Sus scrofa: one gene and its partners. The protein of the gene in region 2 purifies or fractionates together with the protein of the main gene of each other region. This does not show direct contact. Links are inferred from orthologs where the notes say so. Each region holds a gene or a part of one and is shown on either strand. Other genes may lie near its edges. The genes, in order: MFN2, MARCH5 and MFN1.

What was found.
Region 1: the proteins of MARCH5 (region 2) and MFN2 purify together in Homo sapiens (affinity purification with mass spectrometry; 5 studies listed by BioGRID and IntAct, counting the BioPlex papers as one, with this or other methods). This does not show direct contact. The link is inferred for Sus scrofa from reciprocal best matches to the Homo sapiens genes MARCHF5 and MFN2.
Region 3: the proteins of MARCH5 (region 2) and MFN1 purify together in Homo sapiens (affinity purification with western blotting; 4 studies listed by BioGRID, with this or other methods). This does not show direct contact. The link is inferred for Sus scrofa from reciprocal best matches to the Homo sapiens genes MARCHF5 and MFN1.

The regions. Positions count from the first base shown.
Region 1 is NC_010448.4:72,050,458-72,053,823, forward strand, and holds part of MFN2 (mitofusin-2), read left to right. Parts: intron 1-1,589; coding exon 1,590-1,786; intron 1,787-2,626; coding exon 2,627-2,761; intron 2,762-3,366. UniProt on the Homo sapiens protein: Mitochondrial outer membrane GTPase that mediates mitochondrial clustering and fusion. Mitochondria are highly dynamic organelles, and their morphology is determined by the equilibrium between mitochondrial fusion and fission events.
Region 2 is NC_010456.5:103,891,724-103,895,375, reverse strand, and holds part of MARCH5 (E3 ubiquitin-protein ligase MARCH5), read right to left. Parts: intron 207-3,652; coding exon 4-206; intron 1-3. UniProt on the Homo sapiens protein: Mitochondrial E3 ubiquitin-protein ligase that plays a crucial role in the control of mitochondrial morphology by acting as a positive regulator of mitochondrial fission and as an important regulator of immune response.
Region 3 is NC_010455.5:117,409,036-117,412,687, forward strand, and holds part of MFN1 (mitofusin 1), read left to right. Parts: coding exon 1-46; intron 47-1,577; coding exon 1,578-1,740; intron 1,741-3,652. UniProt on the Homo sapiens protein: Mitochondrial outer membrane GTPase that mediates mitochondrial clustering and fusion. Membrane clustering requires GTPase activity. It may involve a major rearrangement of the coiled coil domains.

The DNA of each region.
Region 1 (3,366 bases), on a different chromosome or scaffold from region 2:
CAGGGTTCTCCTTATTAATAACCAGCATATTCCTTCTTAGTAACCAGGGTACTTCTTTCTGATAAACAGAGTACACCTTCATTTTTTTGTTTTGTTTTTGTGTGTGTGGGGGGTGTTGCTATTTTAGGGTCGTGCCTGCAGCATATGGAAGTTCCCAGGCTAGGGGTCGAATCAGAGCTGTAGCCACCGGCCTGTGCCACAGCCACAGCATTGTAGGATCCAAGCTGTGTCTGCGACCCATACCACAGCTCACGGCAACACCAGATCCTTAACCCATTGAGCAAGGCCAGGGATTGAACCCACATCCTCATGGATCCTAGTTGGGTTCGTTAACCGCTGAGCCATGAAGAGAACTCCCAGGGTACTCCTTGATGACCGAGGGTACCCCTTCTTGATAACCAGGATACTCCCCAGTCTTGTCCCAAGACACACTGCAGCCAGAGTAACTTATGCCTTGAATTTTCTTCATGCCGTTAGGGAATGCTGGCAGAACCTAATTGTAACTGAATTGCCAGGAGCTGCATTCTCAGCTGGTAAAACTAGGGTCTGCTGGAGCCGAGGCCACCCCCTTCTGGTCTGCAGGTGGTACATGCTCTGGTTCTTTTTTCATAGCCGGTGACCTGGCAGAAGGTCATTAGCTGAGAAGCTGACCCTTGATGGTTATGAAACCCTTTTATAATCAGTGTCTCATTTTACCCAAACAACTCTGGGAGTTGGGTGGAAGCCATTCGTCTTATTTTAGCAGGAGACAGGCATAAACAGATTTGCCCAAGGTCACACAGCCAGGATTGCAGGCAGTTTTAGAGCCTTAATTTCTGGCTCCAAGTCCAGTGCTCTTTGACTGTAACTGCACTGCCTTGAACCAAAGTATTACAGACCAGACCAAAAGAAGCCATCTACTGGGGAACGACATGCAGGATTCTGCTTGTTGTCGTTGTCGCCAGAATGGAATGTCCCTTTAGAATACCTAGCATTTGTCTTTAAGATTTTTGCCTGCTGACGTTCCTGCTGTGGTGCAGTGAGTTAAGAATCTGACCGCAGCAGTTCAGGTCGCTGTGGAGGTGTGGGTTCTATCCCCAGCCCGGCACAGTGGGTAAACGATCCAGTGTTGCCATAGCTATAGCTCAGGTTCACTCCCTGGCCCAGGACCTTCCGTATGGTGGGTGCAGCCATAAAAAAAAATTTTTCTTCCTGCCTGGACCTGTGCTTCTGGTCCTCAAAGCCACAGAGGTGGCTCCCCCACCTTTTGTACAAGTTGTATTACGTGGCCCACACTAAGCTTCCCTTATTTCCAAACTAGAGATGGTCCCTGCCCTTCTGACCTCATTAGGACCAAAGAAGACACTGAAAGGATAGTTCTTGAAGTTCCCTGGTGGCCTAGTGGTTAAGGATCTGGTGTGGTCACTGCTGTGATGTGGGTTCGATCCTTGGCCTGGGAAGTTCTGCATGCCCTGGGGGTGGCGTGTTCTGAGTAGAAACTCAAAGGCTCCCTGACCGAGGCTCTTGGGAAAGTTGTGGCAGCAGCAGGCTGAGAAGATGGGCAGCGGGATGGCAGGGAGGCCGAGGCGGCTGACACGGTGCCTCTGCAGGTGTGGAAGGCTGTGGGCTGGAGACTCATCGCGCTCTCCCTTGGCCTCTATGGCCTCCTCTACGTCTACGAGCGTCTGACCTGGACCACCAAGGCCAAGGAGAGGGCCTTCAAGCGCCAGTTTGTAGAGTACGCCAGCGAGAAGCTGCAGCTCATCATCAGCTACACCGGCTCCAATTGTAGCCACCAAGTCCAGCAGTGAGTGGCCCCGTCAGCCCCAAGGGTGGTTCAGGACGCCCCCCAGCTTCCCTTCTAGCCTGGCCTGGAAGCCGTAGCCCTGAGCGTTGTCTGACTCAGCCTCTAGCTGCGCAGTGCCAGTGTGGAGGCCAGGGATGGGAGAGGAGTCTCTTAGGGACACCTCGTGTCCTGGGCTGGGACCAGTTAGGCCTTTGGTCCTCCAAGGAGAGAAGACATGGGAGGATGAGGGCCATTACTTGTAGCATCTTTTGAGGGTTCCCTTGAAGGGCTTGGGTGTGGGTATAGCTTCGATGTTCTGAGCCACAGCCAGTTCTTTGTGGCGCATCCCAGGTCATGTGGGATGGATCACCTGATCTGGGGGGCAAGGGGGAAGGTGCTAGCTGCCTGCCTTTTGCTGCTATGTGCCAGACTGCTAGGCATTTTGCACCTAATTTTTTCTTTTTCTCCCTGAACGCTTTGAGGGAGGTGTCTTTATAGGCATCTCCTTTTTTCAAAATGAGGAAATGGAGATTTGAAGAGGAGTCACATGTGTCCTGCAATTGGCTGACTCAGGGCCGGGCTCTGAGTCCTGGACTTTTGTGCCCAAGCCGGGGCGTCGTGCCCTGTGCTCCTGGCCCTCCCTCCGGGTGGTGCTGGTGTGTGCGCTGGTTATGATGTCCACCGTCTCAGCAGGGGGTGGGGGGAGAGTCTGCCAGACCGGGCCTAGGACTGGCACAGGGCACAGCTGCCAGCGTGACAGGTGGACTGGCTGCTGCCCTGCCCGCCATCGGATTCACCACCAACAGACCTCGTGGGCAGCCGCTGCATGTCTTGGTTGATCCTGACTCTCTCCGCATGCAGGGAGCTGTCTGGAACCTTTGCTCACCTGTGCCAGCAAGTCGACGTGACCCGGGAGAACCTGGAGCAGGAGATTGCCGCCATGAACAGGAAAATCGAGGTTCTCGATTCACTTCAGAGCAAAGCCAAACTGCTCAGGTGAGGCTGGCCACGGAGGCCGCAGAGGAAGCCCCGTCCTGGGAGGTGACAGCTCATGGGCACGTCCTTAGCTGCAGCCCCTCGGGCACATGACACTTGCTGTCCCCATCTTCACCGTCTCTTCAGGGCTGTATCATCACTTGCATTTTATGAAAAGAAAAACTGAGGCCTACAGAGGTTTGATACCTCATGTGGGACCCCACAGTAGACAGTCAAGCCAGTGGGAGAAGCCGGGTGTGCTGAGGCTCCCGCACCCTCTGACCCACCACACGTTGGCTGTCCTGTATTGTCTCCCAAGTGGCCGGGAACCCTCACTTTGCACCATCTCTCTGTGAGCCCAGGCACGGCAGCCTATCAGCACCAGTGCCCACAGGCAGGCTGGCCAGGTAGCCAGGGACTGGCAGAGCCCAGATGTGCCAGGGCTCTTTGCCCAAAGCCAGAGCGACCACTGGCGGTTTGCTAGAGCAGGAATGGGTCTAAGGAGTCAGGAGTCCTGGCTTCAGGTCCTGCTGCTCATACTCAGGCCCATCCTTGGGCTTTCCTGGGCCTCGTTGTCTTCATCTGTAAAATGCAGTAAGATTTCATGACACAGCCTCCACGCTGAG
Region 2 (3,652 bases):
TACCCAACTTTGGAAAAACTATTAAGTATTCAGCATTGCACTGAGGACATGCCACTCTGGCTGTACTGTTTCCTCTTTGTTTTTCATCCACCCAGCGCTGTAGACAAGCCTGGTGAACCCATTTTGTAGATCCTCTGCATCTGCATGGTCTCACCCATTCAGCTGTTCTATCATCTTCATCAGTGGCAAAACATACCCAGCAACTTCTATAAATCAAAAGAGAAAATAACCACATTATCTTTAAGACCCCAGCCTCCTCTCCACTGCAACTCTCAATGGGATGAGTCTACTATGTTACATCATAGAACTTTCAATTCTATATTAAAAGACTGAGGAGACAAAACAACCAACACATTTCCAGTAGAGTGGTTTCTTCTTTTTGTTTTTCCTTGTATTCTTCTGCAGAATCTTAAACGTTTTCAGAATATTGTTTTTGTGTACTTCCTCCATCTTTCTAGTAATTCTTCACCTTCTCTAATAAACCAGAATGTAGAAACAATTCTCAAGCTGCTTTTTTAAGACCTAATAATTCTTTGAAGAGTGGTAAATACAAGAATATGTGAAATTCAGTGTATCTCTCATTTCATCAACATTAACCTCATAACCTCTTGAACTTGAAGAACTAAGGTAGTACACAAATTATTTCACATATGGTCTCATTCAATTTTCAACTAAGACAGGAAAAAACCCCCACTCATTTTTCTTTCTGGTAAAGTATGACTATAAGAGAGAAAGATGATTAAATTTAAAAAGTCCAAAGGGAAGAATGAAGACATCAAGATAAACTGTTTTAGGACAGTGATATGGTAAATTTGGGCCTACATGTTCTATTATAGGTATGACTGTTTTCTTTTTCTGTGGGAATTAAAAATTCTGAAATGATTAATTTTAAAACAATTTTCCTATTTCGGTTTTAAGAATACTTCATGAATTCTAATTTATTCTTGTGGAATCAGGTTGCAATTCCTTTTTTTTTTTTTTTTTTTTTTTGGTCTCTTTGCACCCACAGCCTATGGAGGTTCCCAGGCTAGGGGTTGAATCGGAGCTGCAGGTGCCAGCCTATGCCACAGCCACGGCAACGAAAGATCCGAGCCACGTCTGCAACCTACATCACAGCTCGTGGCGGCAATGCCTGGACCCTTAACCACTGAGCAAGGCCAGGGATTCAACCTGCATCCTCATGGATGCTAGTCAGTTTCATTTCCACTGAGCTATGATGGGAACTCCAGGTTGCAATTCCTTATTTGTTCTCCCAATTAACACAAGTTTTGACACCAATTTCCATTATGGCACATACAATTTAATTCAATGACACCATTCACTGCCTGCCCCACCATCCACAGTTAAAGTTTGACTGCACAAAAGGAAATAACTGCTAATTAAAGCTTGTTACCTACTGTGCACTTTTCATATAATTAGATAAGTGATTTCTGTCAAAACAACTAGCTAACTATGCACAGTGGGAAAGCCTATATATATATAGCTAGGTACTAGAGATGGGTGAGGTCTCCAGTCTTTGTAGAACAACATGAATTTTAATTGTGTGCTCCAATTAAAATTTTTCAATTAGAATAGAGAAAAAAACTGAACTGAATACATGGCAACAAGATCCAAAACATGCTTTTACTCAGCTTTCAAATTTAGGTTTCTCACATCTACCTAGGTAAAACTGGAGGTAGGTAGCATTTGTTTGAGCATGCTCTCTGATCCACCTCAGGCAAGCTGTCTGGGCCCTCATGCTATCTTAAGCTTATTCAAAAATGTCTCCTTCTCCACCTTCTGAAACTTATACTTTAACCATTTTTTAAGACTACAGTTGTAGCATTAAGTCATTCACACTGTTGTCCAACCATTACCACTACCCATGATTTGACTGGGTTTCACCAGTTTGTTTTTTTTCTCATAAAATTTCAATTGACAAGTAAGGAGCATATAGACCAGTTAATTGTGTTAGTACATATTTTCCCCATTAGGAAGGTGATTTTTTTTTTTTTTTCTTTTCTTTTTAGGGCCATACCAGTGGTATATAGAAGTTCCCAGGTTAGGAGTTGAATCGTAATTATAGCCGATGGCCTATGACACAGCCACAGCAATGCCACACCTGAGCTACGTCTGTGACAACGCTGGATCCTTAACCCACTGAGCGAGGCCAGGGATCGGACCTGCATCCTCATGTATCCTAGTCAGACTTGTTACCGCTGAACCACAATGGAACTCCCTTCTAAGTTTCTCATATCAACAATGGAACATAATCAGTATTAAGGTGAACTGAATTTTAAATTAAGCCAAATACCAGTCATTAGGAAATAAAACGTAAAAGAACCTTAATACTATGTCACATCAAATGAAATGGCCTTTGTCTGTTTTTTGACTTACATAAATAGCAGTTTCATATACTAATCTAATGGGAATACTTGTATATCTATAATCCCCATAAATTCTGGATAGATTTAAGTTTATTTTTCACCAACATTTTACAACAAAAAATTTCAAAGCTTCAAAAAAAGTTGAAAAACTGCTTCTGTTTGGTGAATACCATATTTGTATCTAGATTCTATGATTCTTTATCATTTTGCTATATATGTGCTTTACCATATATTAATTCCATCAATCCATCTTATTTTTTGATTCATTTCAGTTTCAGACATACTTTATCCCTGAGTACTTTCAGTTTTACCTTTTAGAAGGTACTCAACTGACATTTAAAACAGGATTTTTTTTTCCTTTTTAGGACCATACCTGCAGCATATGGAAGTTCTTAGGCTAGGGGTCCAATCAGAGCGGCAGCTGCTGGTCTGTGCCACAGCCACAGCCACAGCCATGAGGGATCTGAGCCGCATCTGCAACCTACACCACAGCTCACAGCAACACTGTATCCTTAACCCACTGAGCCATAATGTGAACTTCAAAAATAGGATTTTTTTTTTCCTAATTTCACCACTATGGTAGATAAGATAGTTGGAAAATGATACACAGTAAAAAGTTAGGCATTAAACCTAACTGGAAGTGTTAATACCAATAACCTTGTTTTATTATTGTTTTATTCATAGTGACAGTATACAGCTTACTAATTTGGATTTTGAAGCTTATGCTCACTAGAGATTAACTGAAATTATCCTACAGAGGAAATAATAATAAAGAAAACTTACTGATAACAATACTCTCAAAAAGTTTTGCTGAGTTTCAACATCTACCAACTTACCACATCCATTTCCTACTTATTTCAACTGCTTAACAATAAATCTGATGATGGCCATCTGAGATCAAATAGTATTACCCATAATATGTAAACTTCTGGTAACACCACCAAATTACTGGATCTAAATATTATAGTTTTGGGTTCCCTTGTGGGGCAGTGGGTTAAGGATCTGGCATTGTCACTGCAGCAACTCCGTTTGACCAATGGCCTGGGAACTTCCACATGCTGAGGAGCAACCAAAAAATAAAAAAAATTAAAAATTACAGTTTAGATACAAATAAACGAAGTGGAAACATCTAACTTAGTAACAGTACAAAATAAGTACACAACTGAAAACTACAGAAATTGACCACAATTTACTGAGCATTTATGATTCCATGTAGTTTCACTGGTTCCATGTGGCTACATAAACAAAATAAATGGAAGATGGTATCTACCTGGAAAACTATAATT
Region 3 (3,652 bases), on a different chromosome or scaffold from region 2:
GCGAGGTGCTGTCTCGGAGACACATGAAAGTGGCATTTTTTGGCAGGTAATCCTTTATTATTTTTTTTCTCAAGGGTAGTTTGCAGAAATTAACTTTTCTTGGTCATATCTGCAAATTCATTTCTGATATTTCTGCAAGTGATAGCTTCTCCCTCCACCTTTTCTCTTCACAACATTTTCAGCCTGTGTTAAATGTTAAAAGTTTGTTTTAGCTCCTGGTGTAAAATAAAGCTTAATGGAGTTCCCATTTTGGTTCAGTGGGAACAAACCTGACTAATATCCATGAGAATGTGAGCTCAATCCCTGTCCTTGCTCAGTGGGTTAAGGATCCAACATTGCCACAAGCTGCAGTTTAGGTCACAGATGGGGCTCAGATCCAGTGTTGCTATGGCTGTGGTATAGGCCGGGAGATGCAGCTCTTACTCGATCCTTAGCCTGGGAACTTCCATATGCTGCACCTGCAGCCCTAAAGAAAAATAACTACATAAATAAATAAAGCTTTATGAAGGTCAATCATATTTTTATACTTTAAGGATACTCATCTCTAAGAATTGGCTTGTTAGACATTATACATATAGAAAAACAGGTAAGTGACAAGTATAAAATTTGTGACTTAGGTTTTTAAGCTTCTCTGATTACCAGTGTGTCTTCCAAAAGAATTTTCAGCTCCATGATTCCCAGAGGGAAATAGGAAGTACCATTCCTCAGTGTAACTTCCAGAGTGATAAGAGTGATTTCTGCCACAGCTTATACATTAATTTAAAGGGTCAGGGAGTTTCCATCTTGCTCAGTGGAAACAAATCAGACTAGTATCCATGAGGATGCAGCCGTAAGCTGTGGTGTGGTTGCAGGTGCAGCTCAGATCTGGTGTTGCTGTGGCCAGCAGCTACAGCTCTGATTTGACCCCTAGCCTGGGAACTTCCATATATGCTGCGGGTAGCCCTAAAAAGACAAAAAATTTAAGGATTATTTGTTAACTGTGTATGTATGTACCAACCACTCTGTTAAAAACAGTCACTAGGCCCTTAGCTTGGTTGTTCAGATATCATGAGCCATATACCAACAGAGGGTTTTATTTATTCACTGAACTAACCTTGTAGGCCTTCTAAGCTATTTCCTATATCTTTAGCACTTGGAATTTCCTATGCCTAGAATTCTCTTTGCCTTGTTCTATGTCTGGCTCCTCACTCTTTCAGGCAGAAACTTTTTCTGACCACTCTCAGTTATTCTCTACTAAAACAACCTGTTTGTGTTCTTGAAAACTTTTCACCAAGCTCTGGGTTTTTTGTTTTGTTTTGTTTTGTTTTATGTTGTTTGTTTCTCAGAACTTACACAGTCTAGCATGAAGTAGGTCTAAGAAAGAGGCCCTACCTCAGGTTAGGATGGAGTCAGAGTGGGAGGGAAGAGGCCTTCACTGAGAAGTGATGTAATAGTTGTGTAAATCAAGTTGTCAACTTTTAATAAAAAAATGGAATCTGATGAAATTCACAGAATCTGCATTATAAAAATGTAGGCCTTTGAGCCAGTGAACAAAGTTTTTACCGTTATGTTTTGTCATGATTTTGTATATTCTTCAGGACAAGCAGTGGGAAGAGCTCTGTTATCAATGCCATGTTGTGGGATAAAGTCCTCCCTAGTGGGATTGGCCATACAACCAATTGCTTCCTGAGCGTTGAAGGAACGGATGGAGATAAAGCCTATCTCATGACAGAAGGGTCAGATGAAAAAAAGAGTGTGAAGGTATATGATTTGACCTTTGGCAACATAATGTACCTGAAGTAATGTCCTTAACATGTCCTTTTAAAAAATTTTTCACGAAATGGGTGCCTTGCTAGAGACAGAAGAACCATTAGTATTTCTATTCATAGCTTTTAAAACCATCACTAATATTTTTGAATTTTCTGAAATTATTTTGCTTCAGAGCTGAATTACTGTAAGAATAAAACTTGTCTTTAACTTAAAAGTAAATTAAAAATTGACAGGACACTGTAAACCAATTATAATGGAAAAAATAAAAATCACTAAAAAAAATAAATAATTAGAGGTCTTCACTGGTGGCCTACCAGTTGTCATTGCTGTGGCTCTGGTTACTGCTGTGGCTTGGATTTGATCCCTAGCTTGTGAATTTCTACATGCCTCAAGTGTAGCCAGAAAGAAAAAATTGAACTAGAATTAAAAGTTTATACTATTGGGAGTTCCCATCGTGGCGCAGTGGTTAACGAATCCGACTAGGAACCATGAGGTTGCGGGTTCGATCCCTGCCCTTGCTCAGTGGGTTAATCATCCGGCGTTGCCGTGAGCTGCGGTGTAGGTTGCTCTGGCATAGGCAGGTGGCTACAGCTCTGATTCAACCCCTAGCCTGGGAACCTCCATATGCCGCGGGAGTGGCCCAAGAAATAGCAAAAAGACAAAACAAACAAACAAAAACAAAACAAAAAAACAAACAAAAAAAGTTAAAAAAAAAGTTTATACTATTTTCACTTAGTGAAAAGAACATTATTAAAGTGTATTGTTGCTATTTAGTTTCAAATCTTGTCTTTCTAAGGAAAACTTTGTTTAAAAAATGGTCTCTGGAATCTGTTTTTGACACGTCTGCGCCTTTAGAAGTGGTTTTTGCCTTTAGAATATTTGGTAAGCATATTCATGAGAAAATGCTGTAGCTTTATCAGATAAAGGCCAGTGGTGATTTCTTATCCCTACTTTTCATAATGAGTTTCTTTTTTTTTTTTAGGGCTGCACTTGTGGCATATGGAAGTTCCCAGGCTAGGGGTCAAATTGGAGCTGAAGCTGCCTGCTTGCCCCACAGCCACAACAATGCCAGATCCAAGCCACAGCTGCAACCTACACCACAGCTCACAGCAATGCCAGATCCTTAACCCACTGAGCGAGGCCAGGGATCGAACCCACATCCTCATGGATACTAGTTGGGTTCGTTACCGCTGAGCCATAGTGGTAACTCCCATAATAAGTTTCTTAAGGAGTTAAGTGGCACTAGGTTTTTTTCAGCCAGAAGAAAAGAGAAAGCAATTAGGATGCAAGATGTTTACTCTGGAATGAAATCACTTGGTAAAGGCCCTGTGTCTCACTGTAGTCACTTTCTCTTAAGTCTTAAGATCTCTCCCACAAATGCAAAAGTTCAGTGTGTGAAGTTCCATGTCATTTTATTTTTGTCTAAACTGTAGGTGAATTCATAGATCTAGTCCTGTGGGTTTGCTGTTTGATCAGAGCAGGTAACTCAATCTGTGTAATAGCCTTTAGATTAGCTATGAGCAATAAATGAGATGATTTTTATGAAAATATATTTCTAACTTTTATATCCATACAAATGAAGGAATATCTTATTTTTTAATCAAGAATTTTACCAAGTCAGAATTCAAACTGCCTGTGACTTAAGATCCTCAAGGTCAAGTGTGCTATAACATTTTAAGGTAGTTATCTAATTTTTCCCGATCAGTGAGCTGTTCTTGCAGTCCTCTTTCTTCATCTCTTTTACTCTTCTCCCTGCTCCAGAATTTAAGTTTCTTTACCTTAGAAAGTGACCTGCTTTAAGGTATCAATATACTTTGAGTCTTGGACTGTAATAGTTCACTTAGTAAAATAAATGCAACAATAATACCAAGTATTGCACACTTGGTATGTACCAGGCTCTATT